Linked DNA regions of Tamandua tetradactyla. The protein of the gene in region 2 purifies or fractionates together with the protein of the main gene of each other region. This does not show direct contact. Links are inferred from orthologs where the notes say so. Each region holds a gene or a part of one and is shown on either strand. Other genes may lie near its edges.

The links. Proteins that work in one complex are often made in the same cells at the same time.
Region 1: the proteins of PBXIP1 (region 2) and SLC27A1 purify together in Homo sapiens (co-immunoprecipitation; 3 studies listed by BioGRID and IntAct, with this or other methods). This does not show direct contact. The link is inferred for Tamandua tetradactyla from reciprocal best matches to the Homo sapiens genes PBXIP1 and SLC27A1.

What each region holds. Positions count from the first base shown.
Region 1 is NC_135337.1:96,593,055-96,603,153, forward strand, and holds the start of SLC27A1 (long-chain fatty acid transport protein 1), read right to left. Parts: upstream 3,902-10,099; 5' UTR 3,808-3,901; exon of another isoform or gene 3,769-3,807; intron 3,709-3,768; exon of another isoform or gene 3,599-3,708; intron 3,042-3,598; exon of another isoform or gene 2,963-3,041; intron 2,861-2,962; exon of another isoform or gene 2,683-2,860; intron 2,645-2,682; exon of another isoform or gene 2,584-2,644; intron 2,426-2,583; 5' UTR 2,425-2,425; coding exon 2,267-2,424; intron 1-2,266. UniProt on the Homo sapiens protein: Mediates the import of long-chain fatty acids (LCFA) into the cell by facilitating their transport at the plasma membrane.
Region 2 is NC_135330.1:7,949,145-7,959,918, forward strand, and holds the start of PBXIP1 (pre-B-cell leukemia transcription factor-interacting protein 1), read right to left. Parts: upstream 4,818-10,774; 5' UTR 4,647-4,817; coding exon 4,544-4,646; intron 4,182-4,543; coding exon 4,132-4,181; intron 3,447-4,131; coding exon 3,342-3,446; intron 1-3,341. Other genes in the region: SHC1 (SHC-transforming protein 1), read right to left, coding at 6,901-7,029, 7,884-8,122, 8,267-8,401, 8,481-8,550, 8,627-8,825, 9,645-9,771, 9,953-10,004, 10,190-10,243 and 1 more. UniProt on the Homo sapiens protein: Regulator of pre-B-cell leukemia transcription factors (BPXs) function. Inhibits the binding of PBX1-HOX complex to DNA and blocks the transcriptional activity of E2A-PBX1.

The DNA.
Region 1 (10,099 bases), on a different chromosome or scaffold from region 2:
CCCTCTGCCCACCACTGTGCCAGGCTCTCAGGCCAGGGAGGGGAGCTCAATGGGTCCCCAGCAGGCATGGCCGCCCACCCCTGCCCTAAAGGCTCTGTGAGTGAGTGGGACAGTGCCCAAGAGCTCTGGGAGGCGGTCATGTCCCGGCCATCAGCCGGCCCCCAAAACCAAGGACACAGGCCCTGTCCACGGACCCAGGAAACAGGAACCGAGGGCAGCTGACCATGCTCAGGGCAAGCCCGCGGATGGCTTCCGCGGCGCTGCTCTCCAAGCGCAGGTAGGCCATGGGCACGGTGCCAGCCGCATTCCTGGCAGCCCCCCCTGGCAGCAGCGCCCAGCCATCCCCACCCCACCAACAAAGAAGCCCGTGTCCAGCCCCAGGCCCCACCCACACTCTTCCCGATCCTGCTCTTTCTGGCCCCCCCAGGGCTGCAGGTGGGGGGACGGGCAGGGGCAAGTGTGCACACTGCTCGCAGCAGACACAGGGTAATTAGGTTCTCTGTCAACGGTTTCTGTGCTCCAGGCCTAAGTGCAGCCTAAATGTGGTGGCTATCAGCACTGGCTCCAGAGTCCTGTCCCCAGCCTGACTGGGTATCCCTGTGCAAATGACCCCATTTCTCCGTACCTTGGTTCACCTACCTTTAAAATAGGATTAGCAAGTGTCCTTTCCTCACAGAGCTGTGAGAGGATTAGAATAGGGGCTGACACATAGAGAAGGCTACACAAGGTGTATCAGCTAGCTATTGCTATATAACAAATAACCCCAAAACCAACTGGCTGGATACAAGAGGCATTTACCATTTGTTTCTGTGGATCAGGAGTCTGGGGGTGCCTTAGCTGGGTGGTTCTGGCTCAGGGTCTCTCGTGGGACTGCCACTATCTCGGGCTCTACTGAGCAGGGTCTCCTTCTCAGCTCTCATGTGGGCCCTCTGTGCAGGGCTGCTTCCAACACGGCAGCTAGTTTCCCCCAGAGCAAGGGCCAAAGGGCAGGAGGCAGCCCCCAGAAAGGTCCACGGCCTTTTATTACCAGGTCCCAGAGGGAATACCCATCACTTCTGTCCACTGGAAGTGAGTCACTGGGTCCAGCCACACACAAGGGGAGGGTCACTGGAGGCTGTCTCCAAGGGCGCCTGCCCCAGAATGGTTGGTTAGTTTGCTACATGCCCAGCAGCAAGAGCCGGGCCGCGCTACCACAGGCCCAAGGGGCAGAGCTGGGCTGGAGAGGTGTGGGGGCAAGAGGCAGAGGAACCTGTGTTCTTACTGCGTGCCGGGCCTGAGCTGGGCCTTGTGGGGGCCGACACAGGGAAGGAGACCTGCGGGTGCCACCCAGCAAAAGGGGGCCAGAGTGTCCCGACAAGTCTGGGCCTGAAACCACACGCTGGCTTGGGGTTGGGGGCCCATTCAGAGGTGGGCTGGGCCTCAGGTGTCCAGCTGAGAGAATGAGGCTTCTCCTGTCAGGGCTGTGGTGCATGGAGGCATGGGAACAGAAGCTGCAAAAACAGATCTGCCTGTCAGAATGACCCCAGGGGAGGGACAGGGGCAAATGGAGTGAGAGAGCAGTGAGCATGGAGAGGAAGAGGCACGTTCTAGAAGGTTCAGAGCTGTCAACCTGCATGGAAGCATCCCTGAGCCTCGGTTTCCACACCCTCGGGATGGGCCCAGGGGTACCTGTGAAGGTGAGTACCCACACACTGGGGCTATGACTGAGCCTGCCACTGTGAGAACCCCCCTGAGACCCTGTACACACCACCAAGGAGAACCCCAGAGAAGCCAGTCTCCAGCGACTCCAGAACAGGCCCTGGAATAAAGACACACCCCCCCAGGCCCAGCCAACCCCATCCGCACACAGGTCCCCAGTTCTAAACGTGTGCAAAGGCTGGGGAGGGCTGTAAAAGCTTGGAGGAGACAAAAGCCCTCCAGGGGCTCCTCAAGCAACCCCTCCGCCTCGCCAGAGCAACTAAATGGACTCTGTGAAAGCGGCAGAGACCCTGAAGTAACTCCAGGGGCCTCTCCCCACCCCAGCTGCCAAAGACCCGCGGTCGCACCCGCAAAGCCAGCCTCGCTGCCCCTCGAGGTCTCCTTGGAACACACGGCCTCCCACGCTGCTCTCAGAGACCCCCGCCGTCACCCATGCAGGACCCAAGTCCCGCCCCGGGACCGAAGCCTCCCAGGACCCTCGAGCCGCCCAGCAACCCGCTCGGGCCCCCTTGGCCACCGGCCTCCGCAGCCCCAGAATCCCCGCCCGGGGTGGTCCCATCACACTTACAAAAAGTCCCGCCTCGCCGTCTTGCAGACGATGCGCAGGAAACGCCAGCCGCCGCCGCCCACGTACACGCCGAGTGCCGCGGCCAGACTCCAGGTCCACGGGAGCCCCAGCAGCCACAGGAGGGCCAGCGAGGCCACGGATGCCCCTGCAGCGCGCATCCTGGAAGGACCAGAGACAGAGGCGCCAGGTGGGCCAGGGAGCCCCGCCCCGCCAGGCCCCGCCCCGCCCCACCAGACCCACCCCGCCCCGCCCAACCAGGCTCCGACCCAGGCTCTGGCTCCGACCCTCCCGACCCGGCCCCGCCCCCACCCGCCTACCCCTGGTCCCCGCCAAGACCCCGGCAGGCCCCGGGCCCAGCCCCCGGACCCCCAGCGGCCTGCCCCGGGCTGGTCCTAAGACCAGCCCCGCCCCCTTACCAAGCCCCGCCCAGCTCGGCCCCCGGTTCGGCCAGAGTTGGACCGAGAGGCTGGATCGGCTCCCAAGCTGCACCCGCGGCCCCGCCCCCAAGCTAGGTTCCGCCCCCAGGCCAGTTCTTCCGGCTCCAAGCCGGGCCCCGCCCACGCACGTAGATCTCACCCTAGCGTCCAAGCTTCCACCTGCCTCCTCGCCCCTCGCCCCGCCCTTAATTTCAGGTCTCGCCTGCACCCCCAGGCCCAGTTCCACCCGACCTTCGCCTCGGGCCTCCCTTCCGCCCACCTGGCGCCCAGGCCCGCCCCGGGCTGTCCCGGACGGGCGCGGCCTGGAGCTGCTCAGCCGCTCCTCCGAGACCCGCCCCTCTCCGGAGGCCGCGACCATAGAGGCGTTAGGTCAGAGTGGCAATAGCTAACGAGATTGCGGGCTAGAGCGGCCGCCGAGGCCCGCCCCCCTCCAGAGGCTGTGACCGGAGAGAGGCGCCGCGCCAGATGGCAACGGCCAACGAGATCGTGGGCTAGAGCGGCGTCGAGGCCAGCAGCTGTGTCCCTGGCAACGCGCCTCCCGGGGCGTCCAGAAACACCTGTGGCCTCGGGGCGTGATCGCGGTTGCGCGCGGCCTGTGCCCGAGGCCTCTCGGATCCCCATATCCCAGTTTCCGCCCAGGACCCGCCTGCGCTGGACTCCTGCCCTGCGGGCCTGGATCCCGGCTCCAGAGGCCTGGCGGCCTCGGGGCCCGCGAGCCGGATGGTGGGGGCCCCGCAGCGCTGCCACGTGTGTATCCCGGGTCCGCCTGCAGACCCCGCCAGTTTACGTCATAAGCCCGGAGCCCAGCGAGGGGCCCAGGCCCCGGGGTCCTCACGCACACCCAGGGCCCCGGAACTGCAGTCCCGACCCCGGCCGGCGCCCCCCCTCCGCTGACCTGGCGCCCGCGCTGACCCTCAGCTGGCCGCTCCCTCGCAGGCACCCCGGGGAGGAGGCTCAGCTGCGGCCCCGACACCCAGCCCGGGCGTGGACCTGCTCCGGGCCCCCGGCTTGTTTCTGCGGGCTCCGGGCTCCGCCCCTGCCCCGGGGCGCCCGCACGCCACCTACCCTCGCCCCCCCGCTCGTCCTCTGCCTTGCTTGGCCGACCTTCCCCGCGCTGTCTTCGGGAGGAGGCCAGGGCCGGTGTCCAGCGCCACTCGGAGGCCAGGGCTGGGCAGGCCCCCCACCCCCGCACGCGGCCATTGGTCCCCGCGGACAGTTCGGGTGGGTGGAAAGGGGGCGAGGAGGCAGATCCGGAGGACGGGCCCGGAGCCAGTCCCTGGCCCCGGGTTTCCTGCCAACGGTCAGCCGAGTAGGCGATGACCGGTAAGGACAGCTGCAACCTCGTCCTGCGGTGCCGCTTGTGGTCGCCCATTTCACAGATAAGGACTGAAGTCCGCCCCCTCCTTGCACAAGGTCGGGATTCACACCCGCTGTGTCGCTCCTCTGGCCCCCCCCATCTGGCTCCTACTGCCACCCCTGTGTCCTCCTCCTCACCCTTATTCTCTCCCCTCTTCCCCCTCCTCCTTCTCTCCCGCCCCTTCTTCCTCTTTCTTCCTGTCCTACTCTTTCACCTACTCTTCCCCATCTTGGGGTACCCCCTTTTCTCCCCCTTCCCCTGCACCCCTCTCCTGCTCCCTTCCTCTTTCCATTTCTACCCATTTCCTCTTCTCTGACCCCTTTTCTCCCCCCTTACACCCTTTCCCTACACGCCTCCCCCTCCTTTTGCTCCCCTTCATCCACCTCTGCCCCTGGCTGAGCGAGCCTGCTCTGAGCAGCACAGGATAAGCCTCCTGAAACCTGCCCACAGCTCCGAGAAGGCTTGGGGCTGGACGCTGCCCGGGTGCCTCCCGGCCTGCAGTGCCCGAGCTGCGTCCAGGGGTCGTCCACCACATCACAGAATGCAGCAGTATTGGCCAATTCTGAAACTCGTGTGTCCCCAAGGATGTGGGAGCAGGAACTGAGAACCTGGCTTGCCCCGTTTTACAGAACCGGAAACAGAGGCTGGAGGGCAGAACTCAGGCTTCGGGCCAGCCAGGCCGTGCCTCTCCAGGCTTTGTGCCTCTGTGTGCCCCAGGGGCCTGCAGGGACTTTCCTGGCAAAGGGGAAAAAGGAACCATGTACTGAAATAAGACGGAAAGTTCACGGCTTGGGGATTTCACTGCAGCGGTTTCCCGGGCCAGGAGCCTGGAATGAAGATGGGGCAGGGCCCCTCCACCGGGGTCCTCGGGGGGCTCCTCTTGCCTCTTCCAGCCCCGGGTGCCCCCCCCCACTGCCCCCCGCCCTTGCGTCTCCCCTGAGTGTGCTCCTCTGCTGTCATGTCCGTGAAAACACCAGACACTGGACTTAGGGCCCTGGGATGGGAGAGGGGCAGGAAGGGGCCCATTGGGCTCAGCTGCCTCCTGCTCTTCTCCCCGCTGCAAAGACCCTCTTTCCAAGGAAGGTCCCTTCACAGCTTCTAGGGGTTTGGACAAAGACTGATTTGGGGGGTGGGGGGGCAGCAGGCGCAAGGGCTAGCTAGAGCAGGGTCTTCCGGGGTGATGTGTCCCCCAGGGGACACTTGGCCACGGCTGGAGGTGGTTTTGGTGATCACAGCTCGGGGAGGTCAGGGAGGCGACCTGAGTGCTGCGAGGTGACGCGTGACAGGGCCCATCAGGTGGGGGAGCTTGAGCACCCAGCATGCGGGAGCGCTGCCCTTGGCCCCCCCGCCCCCAAGCCTCCGGGTGGCTCTGCGATTTCCTTATGGCTTAGGGTCCACGTGGGCCGGTTCTTTCCTGGTTGCCCGTGTGAGCCTGAGTGCTGGAACCCTCGGGGACAGCATCCCTGTGCCTGTGGGACAGGTGGCCCCAGGCACTCTGCTCAGGCTTGGCGGGTTCAGTGGCGCTGGCGGCCGCGGGGATGAGCTTCCTGCATGGACACTTTGGCCACAGTCTGCTGGTCCCCTTAGCAAAACCCCACCCCGGGGGGCGCCCAGACGTGCCTCTGCTGTGTCCTGGGCTTCATCTGCCCCCATGGGCTCCCTGAGGGGACTGCGCTGCTGAGGGAAAACCAGGGGCGCCTCCACCCACCTCGACGGGCTCAGTGCGGCGCCCCGGGGCCCAGTCAGCCGTGGGAATCAGGCCTGGAGACTGCACACACCCGGGACGCCCACACGCACCAGCCTTGGGAGCTGGGTGGGCGGATGCGTTCCTGAAGGCACACGTAGGTGCATTTAAACTTTAATTTTGTGTTTTTAGGGTAGTTGTAGGTTTATAGGGAAATATATAAACCTACAACCTGTTAGTGACAGGAGTGCCCTCCCTGTCACTAACGTTGTGCATTGATGCAGCGCCGCTGGCACACCTGGCACAGTGCAGTGTCACCCCTGCACTGCCCTCCCCGCATCCACTCTGCCATGGCACCGCGTCCCTTGGGCAGCTCAGTGTCCTCCCCTGTGGGCTGCACCCCGCCCGCAGGCTGAAACCACCTTTGCCCCCTGGGCGCCAGGGGAAAGGCCTGGCACCTATGGAAGCTGCTTCCCAAGGGCCTGGATCTGGGTCAGGGCAGCTGAGCGGGGGCGCGCTGGGCCCAGGGCCAAGGCTGCCATCTTCTCAGGCGGCGTCCTTCTCCGCAACAGCCCTGGGCACGATGCACTGGAGACCGAGGCCGCGCCGCACCGCCGGCTGGACCACCCGCTGCTGCTGTTCTGCCCGCACTGCCAGGCCTTCGCGCCACCACTCAGGCTTCTTCCCGGGGCTCAGGGATGAGCTCCACATGAGGCGGCCGCCCAGCTATCCTGGTCTAGCGTCCCAGGACCTCACGGAGGAGCAGCAGGGCCCGTTCCTCAGGGACATGCTGAAGAAGTGGCTCTTCCTGCCCTTCCAGGATGGCCTGAGGAGGTGAGGCGGGTGGGGCAGTTGGGGAAGGCTTCCCGGAGGAGGGGGTTTCCTCGGGAGGCACGGGTTTGTTTATTGTTGCCCAGGAGAGGCGAGATGGGAGGATAAAGAACAAGGAACGGGAGGGAGGGCTTTCCAGGCAGAGGGCACAGCGTGGGCAGGGAGCCCCAGGATCTCCCAGGGGGGTCCCAAGTTCTCCCAGGGGAGCCCCAAGATCTCCCAAGGGAGCCCCAGTGGCCCACACTCGGTGGTGTGCATCCTCAGGGTGGCTGGACTCGGGTCCTGCCAGGAGACGTCCCATAGACAGGGTCTAGTGTGGGTGCAGTAAAGCTTGACCCTTTTCACGTCCCTCACCCCACCCTGCCCGGGCTTTTTACGATGACCATTTTAGCCGTACAGAAAAGGCCAAAGAAGTGGCACGGCGACTGGGAACATTTTGCCAGATTCACCTCCACGGCGCTGCAGTTTTGCTGAACTGTTGGGCAGTTAGTTGCAGACTTAGGGACATTTTACCAATTTACTTTGTAACACAGTGGCAAGTTTCAGGTCCTGAAGACCTTCATTCTCTGTCCACTATTTTTTCGCTGCCTTCGCTGTCCCCCCAGCCACCACCCCTGCATCTTCCCCCAAACCCGCAGCAGGCCCCTCCCAGGCCCGAGACCCGTGCTGGCCTCATTTGGGGTGGGGGTGGGGGGCGGCTCTCACCAAAGCCCCAGCAGACCAGCATCGGGCAGCGAGGGGTGCCCCCCCCCCCCCCAGGATTGCTAGACAGAGCACCGGACATCCAGTCAAACCTGGATTTCAGCTCAACAAAACACACTGTTTTAGTACCAATATGTCCCAGCCATTGCACGGGACATACATTAAAATTATTTGTTGTTTATGTGAAATTGGACTGTCCCTGGGTGTTCTAGTTTGCTAGCTGCCGGAATGCAATATACCAGAAACAGAATGGCTTTTAACAAGGGGAATTTAATGAGTTGCTAGTTTACAGTTCTAAGGCCGAGAATTAAAACAAGTCTATAGAAAAGTCCAATCAAAGGCATCCAGGGAAAGATACCTTGCTTCTAGAAGGCCGATGAAGTTCAGGGTTTCTCTCTCAAGTGAGAAGGCACATGGTGAACACAGTCAGGGTTTCTCTCTCGGCTGGAAGGGCACATGGCAAATATGGCATCATCTGCTAGCTTTCTCTCCTGGCTTCCAGTTTCATGAAGCTCCCCGGGAGGCGTTTTCCTTCTTCATCTCCAAAGGTCACTGGCTGGTGGACTCTCTGCTTTGTGGTGCTGCAGCATCCTCTGCTCTCTCCGAATCTCTCTGAATCTCTCATTCTCCAAAATGTTTCCTCTTTTATAGGACTTCAGAAACTAATCAAGATCCACTCAAATGGGTGGAGACATGTCATCCCCTAATCTAGTTTAACAACCATTCTTAAGTAAATCACTTCAACCAGGGAGATGATCTCATTACAGTTTCAAATATATAGTATTGAATAGGGATTATTCTACCTTTAAGAAATGGGATTTATATTAAAACATGGCTTTTCTTAGGGGGCATACTTCCTTTCAAACCAGCACACTGGGTCTCCTGTATTCATATTCGCTGCAGCTGGTCTCCCAGCTCCTGTGGGATTTCTCCAGAATGGTGTGTGCTGTGGTGGCGGGCTGTGGAATGCTGCTCTGGGAAAGGGCCGCGGCCCCAGCAGGTGCTGCAGGATCCCTTCCAGACGGCAGATTTGTTGGAATTTGGTCTCCGGGGCTGCAATGGGCATCCGCAGGCCTCAGCTGTAAGAACCGGAGCCAAGCTCGGCTTAGTGGCCTGAGGCCCCACCTTCTCCCTCCCATCTGAGCTCTGTAGCCATGGCCTGGCTCTCCCACCTCTCCCTGCCTCATCCTGGCACTCTGAGCTCAGAGGCCGCCTCCTCCAGGAGGCCCTGCCTGACCTCCATCCCCTTACCCGTGGAGTGTTTCTCTATGGCTACAGCAACATCCATCCATCCATTCATTCACCCCACAAACATCTCCTGAGCGCGGCTCCTGGGCCCCACCCTGCCGCAGCTGCTGCACACCCAGCCAACAAACAGACCCCGCTCGTGGAGCTGACCTTGAATTTCAGAAGCCAAGGAGAAGTGAGCAACACCTTCGCGCGTGGGATGCCGTGCGCTTGGGGGAAAATGCTGGGCAGGCGCGGGGTCCAAAGAAGGGCAGTGCTGGTGGGGGGCGGGCGCCGTGAAATGTCTGCTGCCCCTGGTGGTGCCTGCTTTGCCAACTGGCGGGAGGTGGCCAAGCTGCCAGACCGCAGCTTCCTGCAGCCTGAGGACCTCGATGACCCCGCCCCGTGCAGCCTCACCGAGCTCCTAAATCGCCGCAAGCACCGTGTGGACCCGGGGCGGACGGGGGTGGGTGCTGTGCTGAGCCCGGGGGGTGGGGGTGGGGACCGTGCTGAGTTCGTGGGGTGGGGTGGGGGGGACTGTGCTGAGACGCTGAGGAGCGGCCGGCAGAGGGGGGGTCTCTCCTGATTGTCACGCGGGAAAGGAAAGGTGGAGTGTGGGGCGAGCACAGGAGAGCCGTCTCACTGTGCCTCAGATTCCCCTTCTATAAAATGGGACTGTCACAGAACCACCTCCTCTGGCACTCTGAGGGCTTCAGGACGCACGCCAGGTTCCGGGCAGAATACGTTTGGCTCTCTGAAGGCTGACTGTTGTCAGTATAACACAATGTTCTTTTTGTCTTTAAAAAATGGTTGCTTTAAGTTTTTCTCCTTCTCAAGAATTCCCAGATATTATCTTTGTGTACATCATTTCTTATGCACAATTACAGCCGTAGTTTCAAAAGCTGTTTTAACGACAACCCCATGTTTAATAGATGGATGCATTTGTTGTCTGGTGTCCGGTGAGACCCCTGGGAGCTGTGGGACCCCAGGGGAGGCAACAGCATGGAAGTACAGCCGCGGCCTCGGGGCGGGGCCAAACACAAAAACATGCAAATGAGATGTAAATCACACACTGTGCCCAGTCTCTGGTCCCCCCACCCCACCCCCACCCGGGGATTGGCGCAGGGTCAGCTGTCCAAACTGAAGGCCGACACCCCGAACCAGAGGTCGGTCACCGCCTGACACTGTAACACGAAACCTGCAACGAGACTCTGCAAGAGCCTCCAGGATCATTGCGCAGAAACAGAACAAACCCAGGTCGAGGCTGCGGGTTTCAGAAAGTAGGTTTTATTTGTCCACGGCCCTAGGGCTCAGCCCAGTAGCGTCTGAAAGTCTGAGCCCCGAACGGGCTGACACGAGGTCTTCACAGACAAGACGGCATGCTGGAGGTAGTGTGTTCCTAAGACGGCCCCTGGCAGTGCTCGAGGGGAGCGACTGGCTGCGTGCTGTGAGGAAGGGTTGCAGAGCTGAGCTCACAGAAGCAGATGAGCTCAGGGGAGGCGGCTCCTACGGGAGCCTCTTATCTTTGCTCACGTGCACTTTCAACTGTCCTTGGGGCTGGAGACTTTGCAAAGAGGGAGTAGCCTGAGTAAACC
Region 2 (10,774 bases):
TCTGAGACAAGGACAAGGGGCCACTTGGCCCCAGGAACAGACAGAGACAGCTGCGGGACGGGGGAGGGGAGGTGGGGTAGCAAATCGTGGCCTTGGCTGTAGCCTTCCTGCTCCTCTGCCATGCACACTATTTAAGGATGCCACTGCTATTTTTAAAAGGCGGGAGGGGTCTGAAAAAGCCTCCAAAAATGGGCTAGACCGGGGCAGTCCCTCCCTCCACCCTGGAGCTGCGCTTGGGCCTAAGCCAAACAACTGGGCCCAGCGGTGTGGGGGTGGGGACGAGGGCGCGACGCTAAACCCAGAAGAGCTTCCAGCACTTGTCTCCCAGGGGCCTTGGAGCCAAAGCTCCCGCCTGGCTCCTGTCCTGGCCCAGGAATGTGCTCAGAAAGGAAACTCCGTTTCTCACAGCAGAGACACAAGGGGGGGGGGGGGGGGAACCTGAGCCCTTCTGCCAGTCACCACTTACAGGGGTTCTGGGGGACACATATCCCACCCACTCACCATCCAGGACCTTTCCCAGTGGTGACAGTGGCTCATTCTAATCTTTTATTTGGGGGTAGGGAGGGTGCATGGTCCAGGAACGAACCCAGGTCTCCCGCATGGAAGGGTGAGAATTCTACCACTGACCCACCGGAGCACCCTCATTGTAATCTTTTCCACACAAACAGCAAAGAGGAGCCCTTGTTTGGATTTTCAAGTCATTTTATTAATCCAACAGTACAAAAGACGCCCCCACCACATCTCTACCACCCCATTTTCTTCCAAGTAGTGGAGCATGAGGGAGGAAACTGAGCAAAGACACTCCCCCAGAAGCCATTTTACAAAATGGGGAAAAGGGAGACCACACAAAAAATAGCAACAGCTAAAAGGGGCAAACAGAAGTACATACACAACACAAAGCTGAGCACTAGGGGGCTGCTCTTTTCTCATTGCCTCAAAGGATGTCGGCCCCACCGATTATACAGTATACCCTGTGTCTTCTCTCCACGTGCTAGGGAACTGAGAGAATTGAGCAGGGGACCACAGAAGGGCCTCTGCCACCACACCTCATGGAAAGGGATCACTAACTTCTCCCAAGAGGGCCACATCCCCTGCCTGCCCTTCCCTACCCCAGTGAGGAATGTTTACAAGGGCTGTAAGGAAAACACAGCAGCTGTGAGGGTTCCGGGTCAGGCCCCCAGCCATCCCTGGCAGGCAGTACTTAAAAAATAAAATAACAACAAATAAAGCCCAGTGCAGGACTTCGGCTGAAAAGAATAAAACTGCTAGATCACTAGCCCCCCACCCCAAAATATGAAAACCTGGCAGGGGAAGAGAAGCAGAAAGCATCCAGGCTCTTCAACCTTTTAGTAACACCGCCAACGAGGATCTCACAGCCTCCCCTTCACACCCTTTAGGGCCTTACTTGGATCTGTTATCAGGAGAGGAAATGAGGTATAAGGGCTCTGACCCTTTCCAAGCTTTCCTTCGGTCGGTCGAGCAGGGAGGCAGGGAAATAAGGGTGCCAAAGGCTGAAGGCCCAAAGGATAATGTGCAAGATGGATGAGTCAGGGGAGAGTTATACAACCACAGAATCCAGACTTCGGGGACAGTCCACACCTCAGACGCTCTGGTCTGTCAGACCACATATCCCAATTTTTGGCAAAAATATGTTCATTAGGAGAAAAGCACAAGGGAGGTGGACAAAGAACCAGTGACTTTGGTATGAGGGAGATATCTCCTGACAGCATCTCTTACCTACTGTCTTGAAACCCCAAATCACCAAGAAACTGCCATAGCCAAAAACTCTCCTGCCTCTTCAAGCTATTTGGTTCTTTGAGGGGGGAGGAGTTGGGTAGGACTTCGAGGAGGTAAAGGGAGGGTGGAAAGAGGAGAAAATCCCCACTTATTCCCTAAAGCTGTCTCCCAGAGCCCATCACAGGGCTACTACGGATGGGAAGAGATCCGAACTCCTCTGGTCAGAAACCTTTAACACTCGACTCCAAAGAGTAAGGCTGGAGCTGTGAAGCTAGATAGGGGTATTAGGCACAGGTGTTAGAGGGCATCCAGCAGAGGGAACCCCCTTGCTCTCCAGATCTTCCTCCAGCCCCTTTTCTCTTGCCGCCATACCCCTAGGCCTCCAGAGATTGCCACCCAAAAAATGGCTCTGCTCAGCAAGGCTTTGGTTTCCTGGACCTCTACAGATCTCAATGTGCAAGTTTCCAGAAAAGTGAGCAGTCCAGACCCTCTTCTGCCTGCCCACCTTAGTTCCTTTTCTCCCCCCTGGAGCCACTGTGTTTCTGCCCCATGAGGATAGGAAGCCAGTGGAAACAAGGACCAAGAGCCAGGCATGGAAACATTCACCCTGGAAGAGCACTTCCTTGGGCCCTTCACCAGTGTCACCCATCGTTGGCAGCCACCAGCTGCCCCATGCCCTCGCGGATATAGACGGACTGGATCTCCTTGGTCTTGAGGCAGAGATCACAGGCCCAGACAGCAGAGGCCTCAGTGGTCAGCAGCCCATAGGCGCTCTCAGTCATGCCTGTGCACTCGCGGTGGAACCACTTCTGGCAAGAGGCCTCACACAGAATGGCATCTTGGTCGTCGTTCACCTCACTCCGACAGGCACCACATGGGTACACCAGGCCTGGGGGAGGCTGAGGCCCTGAGCCCCCACCTGTCTTGCCAGGAGGTGCCAAGCTGTTAGCATCCGGGGTGCCCCCACCCCGCCCACTGCTGTTTGGAGGAAAACTGGGCTGATTCCCATTAACAGCAGCAGCCGGGGAGCCTGAGTGGGGCTCCTGGGGAAAAGCAGTGGCAGCAGGTGGATTGAGGGGCTTCCCCCCATCCTCACCACCAGGGCCAGGAAAGCCAGGATCCGGGCCTGGGAAAGGACTTGTGTTGGGGGGTAGGCTGGGGAGCCCCTGACCAGGTCTCTGGAGAGGAGAGGGGCCAAAAGGTGCACCTGGCTGGGCAAAGCGTTGAGGGAGCGAAGGGGGGCCCAGCTCCCCTCTGGGAGGTTGTCCCATGGTGGGTGAGATCATGGGGCCAAATCCCCCCACTGGGCCAGGCATCATCTGCCCACCAGGAGGGCTGAAGTTTTGACCCAGAGGCTGGCTGAAGGGTTGGCTGGGAAAGTTCATGTTGCCTTGGGGTGGGTAGCCAGGGCCCTGAGGGGGCATGTTGAAAGCAGGGCCCATAGGGTTGGGAGGAAAAGGGGGAGGCTGTCGACGAAGAGGCTGGGGACCCCCTCCACCCCCAGTACCATAGCCTGGAGGTACCTGGCCTGCCATGCCCCCCTGTACACGGAAGCCTCCAAAGGGCACAGGACTGCCAAGGAATGGAGGGGCTGTGCCCCCCACCTTAGGAGCTCCGAAGTCATCCTCAAAAGGGTTGGATGCGACCAGGTGATCCACCATGGGAGTTGGAGGTGGCGCAAACTCCGTCAGATGTGAGTACGCAGGGCCCTGGGGGGGACCAGACGAGGGAGAAAGTCACGAAGGAAGACGCCGAGTTAAACCGGGAGGAGAGCACTAAAAACACAATATATGTTTTTGAGGGTGGTACAAGCCAGCTCAGATCTTAGATGAAGATGGACCTTAGAACATAACAGAGGAACAGAGGGTAGAAAGCAAACAGCATAGTGCAGTCATTGTGCTTTTTTTGAAAGCAGGCAGAGATTAGGCTAAAATCCCAACTCTGACCCTGAAATGTTTCAAAACCCTAGCACACACACACACAAAAAGGCAAAAACAGAACAAAAAAGACCCCAGCATACTAAACAAGGATTTTAAAAAACAGGTAAAATAAAAACAATATCTATCTCCCAACCTGTACAACACTTAGCACAATCCCTGGCACTTAGAGAAAGTCCAGTAAGTGGAAAGTGCCATGATCATGAGGGACCCAGGACAGGAAGAGCAGGTGGGGCGAACTGACCCTGCCTAATGGGGTCTTTGGCCATATCACCTCTCAAGGGTGGGTATTTCTCCCGGTTTGTTATGATGCTGAGGGAAAGGTCCACAAATAGTAAAAATGACAGCTTTCCCTTCTCTCTGTACCTGATACAAGATCCAGATACATATGGAAGTGGTAGATTAGAGGGTCCCAAGGAACTGCTAGGAATTACCCCCACCACCAGCCACCACTCACCTGAGTATTTGACTTCCTTCGCTTTTTTTCTGGGCTCTTCATTTGCAGACCTGGAAGAGCAGCAAACGGTAGACACAGGTTTCCCCAACTTCTTTTCTCCCAACCATCCCCTGAGCAACTCCTGTAACTTCATTATACACTTGCTAATTTACTTCATAACATCATAGGGTGTGATGTGAAAAATGAATTGTGAGCATGGGTATATACTAGGCCACCTTTTCCCTTAAATGAAGGAGAGTCCATCTCTTGATACCGTCAAACTCCAAGTGACTCCTGAATTCCATGTCCCTTAAAACCCCAGGGCCCTGGGTCTGTGACACGTGCCCCCAGTCCCTGAAGGTCTTCGCCCACCTACCCTCTTCCGAGCCTCCTAGGGCCCCTCCGCGCCCCCCGCCCCTCCCAGAGATCTCACCGGCCTTGCCCTGCTTCCTCCCGGTGCTGGGCGGCGCAGGGGGCGGTGCGGGGCCGCCACCTCCCTCCAGCTTGTCCGGTGGGGGCGGCGCCGAGGCGGCCATGGGGTGGGAGACCGGGGTCAGCGGCGGCGGGAGATGGAGGCGCCCTCGGGCTGCACCATCGCCCAGAAGGAGAGCCAGGGGCAGTGCAGGCCCCCGCACTGCAGCGACCTCGGGGCGCGGCTAGGAGCAGATGCGGCGCGGAGCGCAAATCGCGCGCCCGCTCTTCTCTCCGCCCGCCCGCGGCCGCAGCAACAGGAAGCGGAACTCGGCGTGGCCGCCACCACTGAGCCCGGCGAGCAGGGGGACCCGGCTCTGGGCAGGACGCGGCTGGGAGCTGCCGGCGGCGGCGCGGGGAGAGCCGAGCCTGCGGGCGAGCCTGCGGGGGCGGCGTCTCAGCCGCTGGGGCGGCCCGTGCCACCTGGCCTGGGGGCGCGCTGCCGCCGGACCGTACCATTCCGGGCCGCCGCGGAGGAGGCGCGCGCCGGGGCGGCCCGGGCTTCCCGGGGGTCCGGCCTCGCGGCGCCGACAGGCCCTCTGGCCGCTCCGGCCCAGCCCGCGGCGCGAGGCGGTCCCCGCGAGGAACCCGCGGCGGATCGTGGGGCCCGCGCGCCACACCCTGCCGCGCCTGCCCCGCGCCCCGCGCTCGAAGCCCCGGTCCCGCGGGCGGCGAAGGGTCGTGCAGGGCCCGGGGGTCCCGCCGCGCCCCGCCCCGGGGCTGCCCTGAGCCCCCCCACTCCCTCCTCCCCGCCCACCGCGGCGAACAATGGACCTGCGGAGTGACCGAGAGACAGGCCCGGCTAGAAGAAATACGAACTTTAATGAGGATTATTTCCCTTTGGTATAAGTGAAACCCGTGAAAACATCCACACACGAAAAGGAGGCGAGAATTAAAAGTCAACTCTCCCGTATGCACGAGGCCTAAGAGAAGGGGCAGGGCCGTCTTCTCCGTCTCGGTGGCCAGGCTTAGTGCAGCGCCAAAAGTAAAAGGTGCTCAATAAATCAACACAGGTTTTAATGCTCCCCTCGTGAAACCTTTTTCAGCCATACTTCTACCTCCCAGCCTCGATGTAAGAGGCTCCGTTTTTCTAGCCCTACCCCTCTCTGCCTCGGATCGCTCCTGTAAAAAAAATTAATGCTGCCGATCCCAATTCCCTCACGGGATAGGGTGAGGAAAATGCCAATAATTGTAAAAGGGCTTTGAAAAGTCAAAGAAGTGATGTATAAACGTAATCAATTATCATTTTGTGCTCCAAGAACAAGCCATAGAAAACAAAATTAAAAAATAAATCTACAGCCTTAAAATACATGTATATAAAATAAAAAATAAAAGCAGTTCCACATCTAGAAATGATATTAGGGATTGTCTACTGCTTTAGAGTCTCAAAGGCCCTGTTCCCTGCTCTGTAAAACTCTCTTGGGAGAGTTAATTTTACAGGAGGCCCAAATTCAGCCCTGCCCCCCAGCACCACCCCAGCCACGGAGGCAGGGCAGAGGCTACAGGGGGAACGGTTGCACTTTGGCTGTAGAGTATAACATGCATGCGACATGGTGGGGTGGGGCTTACAAAGTCATATACAGACCCCTTCTGTGAGGGGCCCCGGCCAGGAGGCACTGAGGGAGGGAGGAGTCCATCTCCCCCCTGGCCGGGAGGGGGGCTCTGGGGCAGTCTCTAAGGGTATACATCCCCCATGGAAAGGGGGCAGGTGGCACTCCTCCTCTGTTCTCCCAACCTAAACTGGAGGAGGTGCTGAACAAAGACAGGAGAGGGTCTCAAAAGCCAACGTGTCAGGACCCCTGTCCTTGACCTCAGGGGCCCAAGAAGAACTCTTTGCATAAAATATATTCAGACCTAGGAGATGGTCAAAGGCACAAAGTTTCAACACTGGGGGGAGGGAGGGGGTTTGGGAGGGGCCTGGGGCATATCCTGAGCCTAGGGGTAGACCCAAGTTGTGATTCATTCCCTCTTCCCTGGAAGGGTGATTGCTTCACTGGGCCTATCACCACAGAACGTTCTTGAGGCACTGTCCAGGCCTCAAGAATCCACCTTCTTGGCGAAGAGGGTATCAGGTTGGCACAGACAAGGCCCAGGGAAGGGAGCCACTCTGTACATTAACGCTTTGGTGAGGTTTGAGGAGAAGCAAGATTCCACCCCAATCTCATGACTCAAACCCTCTCACTCAGCCGGATGCCGAACCACGTGTCCACACCACTCCCAGCTCCAACACAAGATCCAGCCCTCAGAACACTCCTGAGAGCCAGGGAATAAAGTGGATGGGGCCAGAGGGTGTCTCCTGGGAGAGGGCACTGGGAAGGATCACAGTTTCCGCTCCACAGGCTGCTGGAGGCAGAGTTCGCTGCCTGCAGAGATGATGGGCAAGTGATTGTCCATGTGGTAGCTGATGAGGTGACTGACGCTCTCAAAGCGGTGATCCTTTGTTCGAACCTGGGAAGGTCCGAAAAGAGAGGGACAATTCAGGTAGAGTGTCATAAGAGGACCTCAGCCTCCAAGGTCAAGGGAGCTGGAATATTCAAGAGGGTTGAAAAAGGGGAAAAAAAATGGCATGGGGGTGGGGAGGTGGGGAGGTAGCACTTGGGGAGCTGTCAGTCCTGATAAGTGAGGCCTCTCTAGAAAGGGGCTCGACAAGGCATGGGAATGGGCAGGGCAGTGAACTGGGGAAAGGCAGAAGGGATGCCAGCCCAGGAACCGTGAAACTGAGGGATAGCTACTCCATCCTTGCCCTGGAGGAAGCTGGCCTGTCTCGAGAAGATACACCGTGCAAAAAAGGATGTGTAAGGGAGGCTGAGATTGCTATAACAGAGAGAATAAAATTGTGAGGGGAAGCCGGGGCAGTACAGATAGGAAAAAGGGCACTGCCCTGAGTCCAGAGTCTAGGGAAGCTGGGGAGGGCCCTGGCTCCACTTGTAAGGGATGAGGGGTCTGGCCTCTAATCATCTGCCCACCAAGTACAACTCCAGAATGGTCTCATCTGTCAAAAGAGGGGCCCAGATGAGATGAGCACTCAGGCCCCCTTCTAGCTCTGATGGGCTTTAGGTTCAGGGATTTGAGGATTAGCCAGGGCTGGAAGGAATACAGCTTAGTTTTAGGGAGGAGAAAACTGGGAACGCTAAATCTCTGGAGAAGGGTCACCAAGGCACCTTTTAAGAGCAGGGGAGACCCGTACAGAGCTTCCCGGATGGGAAAGTCTAGGAAGCAATGCATAAAGGAACAGAGCTGCACTGCAGAGTACTGTATCTTTCTTTCTGCAACCCCTCTCCCCCCACCTCTGCCACACTCACCACCCCCTCAGGGTCCACCAGCAGCAGGTGCTTGGGCTGCCCACTCTGCAGCCCGGTGAGCACATACTGGCCAGGGGTAGTCGTGCTCTCCCGCACCAGGAAGTCCCCATTGAGCTGCAGCAGCGCCTCAGCTTCCCGCCGGCTCAGCTTCCCGTGGAACCAGGGCTCCCCGCGGAGCTGCTCGGCCATGGACAACGTCTGGGGAGGTGGAGGCACCCGAAGGGCATCTTCAAACGGCTCTGAGGGTGCAGAGAGAGGGTAGGAGAGGCAGCCTATACGCTCCTCACCCAGGACCCAGAACTTAGGAGAAGGCCAGGAAGGAAACGGCAGATGGACGAACCAAGAAGGAAATGGGGATGCAGAAAGGAAAGAGGAGCACTCACTCATGTCAAAGAGGTCACGGGGTGTGCTGCCATTGATGGCAGGATTGAGGGGCCCGGCCCCGCCCCCTGCTTGCCGAGCCTTGTCTAGGTTCTGTACATTGACATAGGAGGGGTCATCAAAGAGCTCTCTGCCTGCTGAAGACAGGGAAACTTTACAGTGAGCCTAGCCCTGCCCCCTGTGCCCCAGCTCCGCCCACCTCAGCTCCCTTCAGACCTGGGCAGGGTGGCAGAGGTGGCATCTGCTTGCGGACTTCTGGGTCTCCCCCCGCAGGCTGCCCCACTGGCTGCAGGGACAAAAATCAGATAAGAGCAGGGACCCTCCCGCCCAGGGCCCCGCCCACCGCCATCCAAGCAACCTACCAGCGTGGCCCCCAGATGGCTGGGGGTCTGGGCACTGGGTGGAGCTGGTCGAGCAGCGCCCAGCGTGGCTCCCTCCCGAAGCCTCACGTCTACCACGCCCCCAAGAGGGGGCTCCTTCCCCGGGAAGTCATTATAGTACTGGTGATCAGGTGGCTCTTCTTCTTCCTCATCCCAAGCTGAGCCATCGAAGCCAGCCATCCTGAGAAGCAGGCCAGAGTGAGGGGCGAGGGCATGAACGAGGAGGGGGTGGGGGGGGGGCGGGCAATGAATGGGCAGGAACAGGACAGGGGCCACGTACTGGGCACTCAGCACTTGTTAAACCCAAGGCTGGAGTTTTACGTGCACAATCATTTCATCCTCCCCACAACCCTGAAGACGGGGTTATTTTTCTTTCTATAATTTTACACATAAGGAAAATGAGGCTCAGAGAGGTGAAAGGATTTGCTCAAGGTCAAACAACTAAAACCTGAGACTTAAATATAACTTTGAATTTAAAACACATGCCCTATTACTGTGCCATCTCCCAAGGGGAAAGCGAAGCACCAAATAGCGGGGAGGGGCTCAGAATCTTGTAACCTTCTCTAAAGACTCAATAGCTTCTGGTCCTATTGCTTAGCCCTCAAGGCCCGCGGTGGGAAAAGTGGGGGAAAAATAGAAATCTTCCTTCACCCTTATTCTTGACAGCTTTTAGGGGCAGGAAAAGGCAAAACAAAGGATGGGAAAATGGGCAAAAAAGAGAGAAGAACCAGAAACAAAGAGGCTTGGACTAGAAGAGCCCACCTAGCCAGGGAAGGCTGTGCAGCCTGGAGGTCCTAGAAAACGGTTCCAGAGAGGGCACACATAAGAACAGGCTCTGCACCAGGCAGGGCCTCAAAAGCCTTTCCTGACGGGCCACAGGAAACTGAAGAATAGCAGGAAGTGGGAAGCAGGGGCACATGGGTTATTTCCTTCCCTGAACGACTTTCCCAGCTCAGTTTCTGGAGCCCCAGAGTGGCCCCCACCCCGTTCTCGCACTCACCTGTCATGAGGGGTGACGAGTCTGGGTGGGTTCCTGAGGTACTGTTTAAAGCGCAGCTCGAAGGCCTGGCCAATGGTGCTGATGACGTCCTGGGCAAGCCCTTCAGGACACTCCAGGATGTGGCAGGCTGAGGGCACAGGAGACGCTGTCCGTGAGCTCTGAGGCAGGGGCTGCCAGGAGGAGGGGAGGACAGAGGCCCGCGCCCCCTCGGCAGGAGTCCCCACTCAGCTCCACTCGCTCAGGCAGGGAATGATGACGCCCCAGCCCGGCCCTGCCCGCCGGCCCCCAGTGCCCCCGCTGCGCCTCACCTCGCTGATTCACGGGGTCTTTGGCAACGTAGGCGACATACTCAGCTGTGTCCTGCAGAGGAGGGTCAGAAGGGCCAGTGAGCAAAACCTGATGCCCCTACCTCACTCTTGACCCCTAAAACCTGGTCCTTTCCAGATATCTCCTCAATCCTAGCACCCCCAGTTCTCTTGCCAGGGTCCTCCCAATGCCCAGCCCCTTATTTGTCTCCCAGCATCTTCACTCGACCCCCAACTCACCGGGTCCCCGCCGGACGCAAACGAGATGGACTGCATGTGGTGGTTGGCGATGATCTGAGGGCCGGGGCAGGAGACGGAGAAGGAAGGGAACGAGGTATGGCAGGCGACCTCAGGGCCCATCTGGGTGCCCACAACCCCCCACCCACCCCCCGGGTCAGAACTCTGGAGTCCCAGTTTCATCCTCTTAGCTTCTTACCTATGTCTGCAAAACTTCCTCATTCTTTACTGTCTCTCTGTTCCCAAGCCCTCACTCCTAACCAGATCCCCCCTTAGCGCTCCCATCAGAAGGGGTCCCCCTGCCCTCACCCACCACCAACCTGCTTGCAGTCTGCAGCCATGAGGTTGAGGCTGCTGGTGGAGATGGTGAGAGTGATTGGCATGCCGGCAAACTTCAGGTTACTCCTGCCCAGGATGGAACTGAGCGGGCGGCTACAGGGCTGAGGAAAGGCCCAGAGATTTCAGAAGCTGAGGATTCCCAAGACCAGGAAACCACACTCCTGCCTTTTGGTCTCCTCTCCACAAGCCCCACACCTGCCTTCCCCCTACCCCTCCACACTTCCCAGGAGCATCCCTAGCGCCATCGGG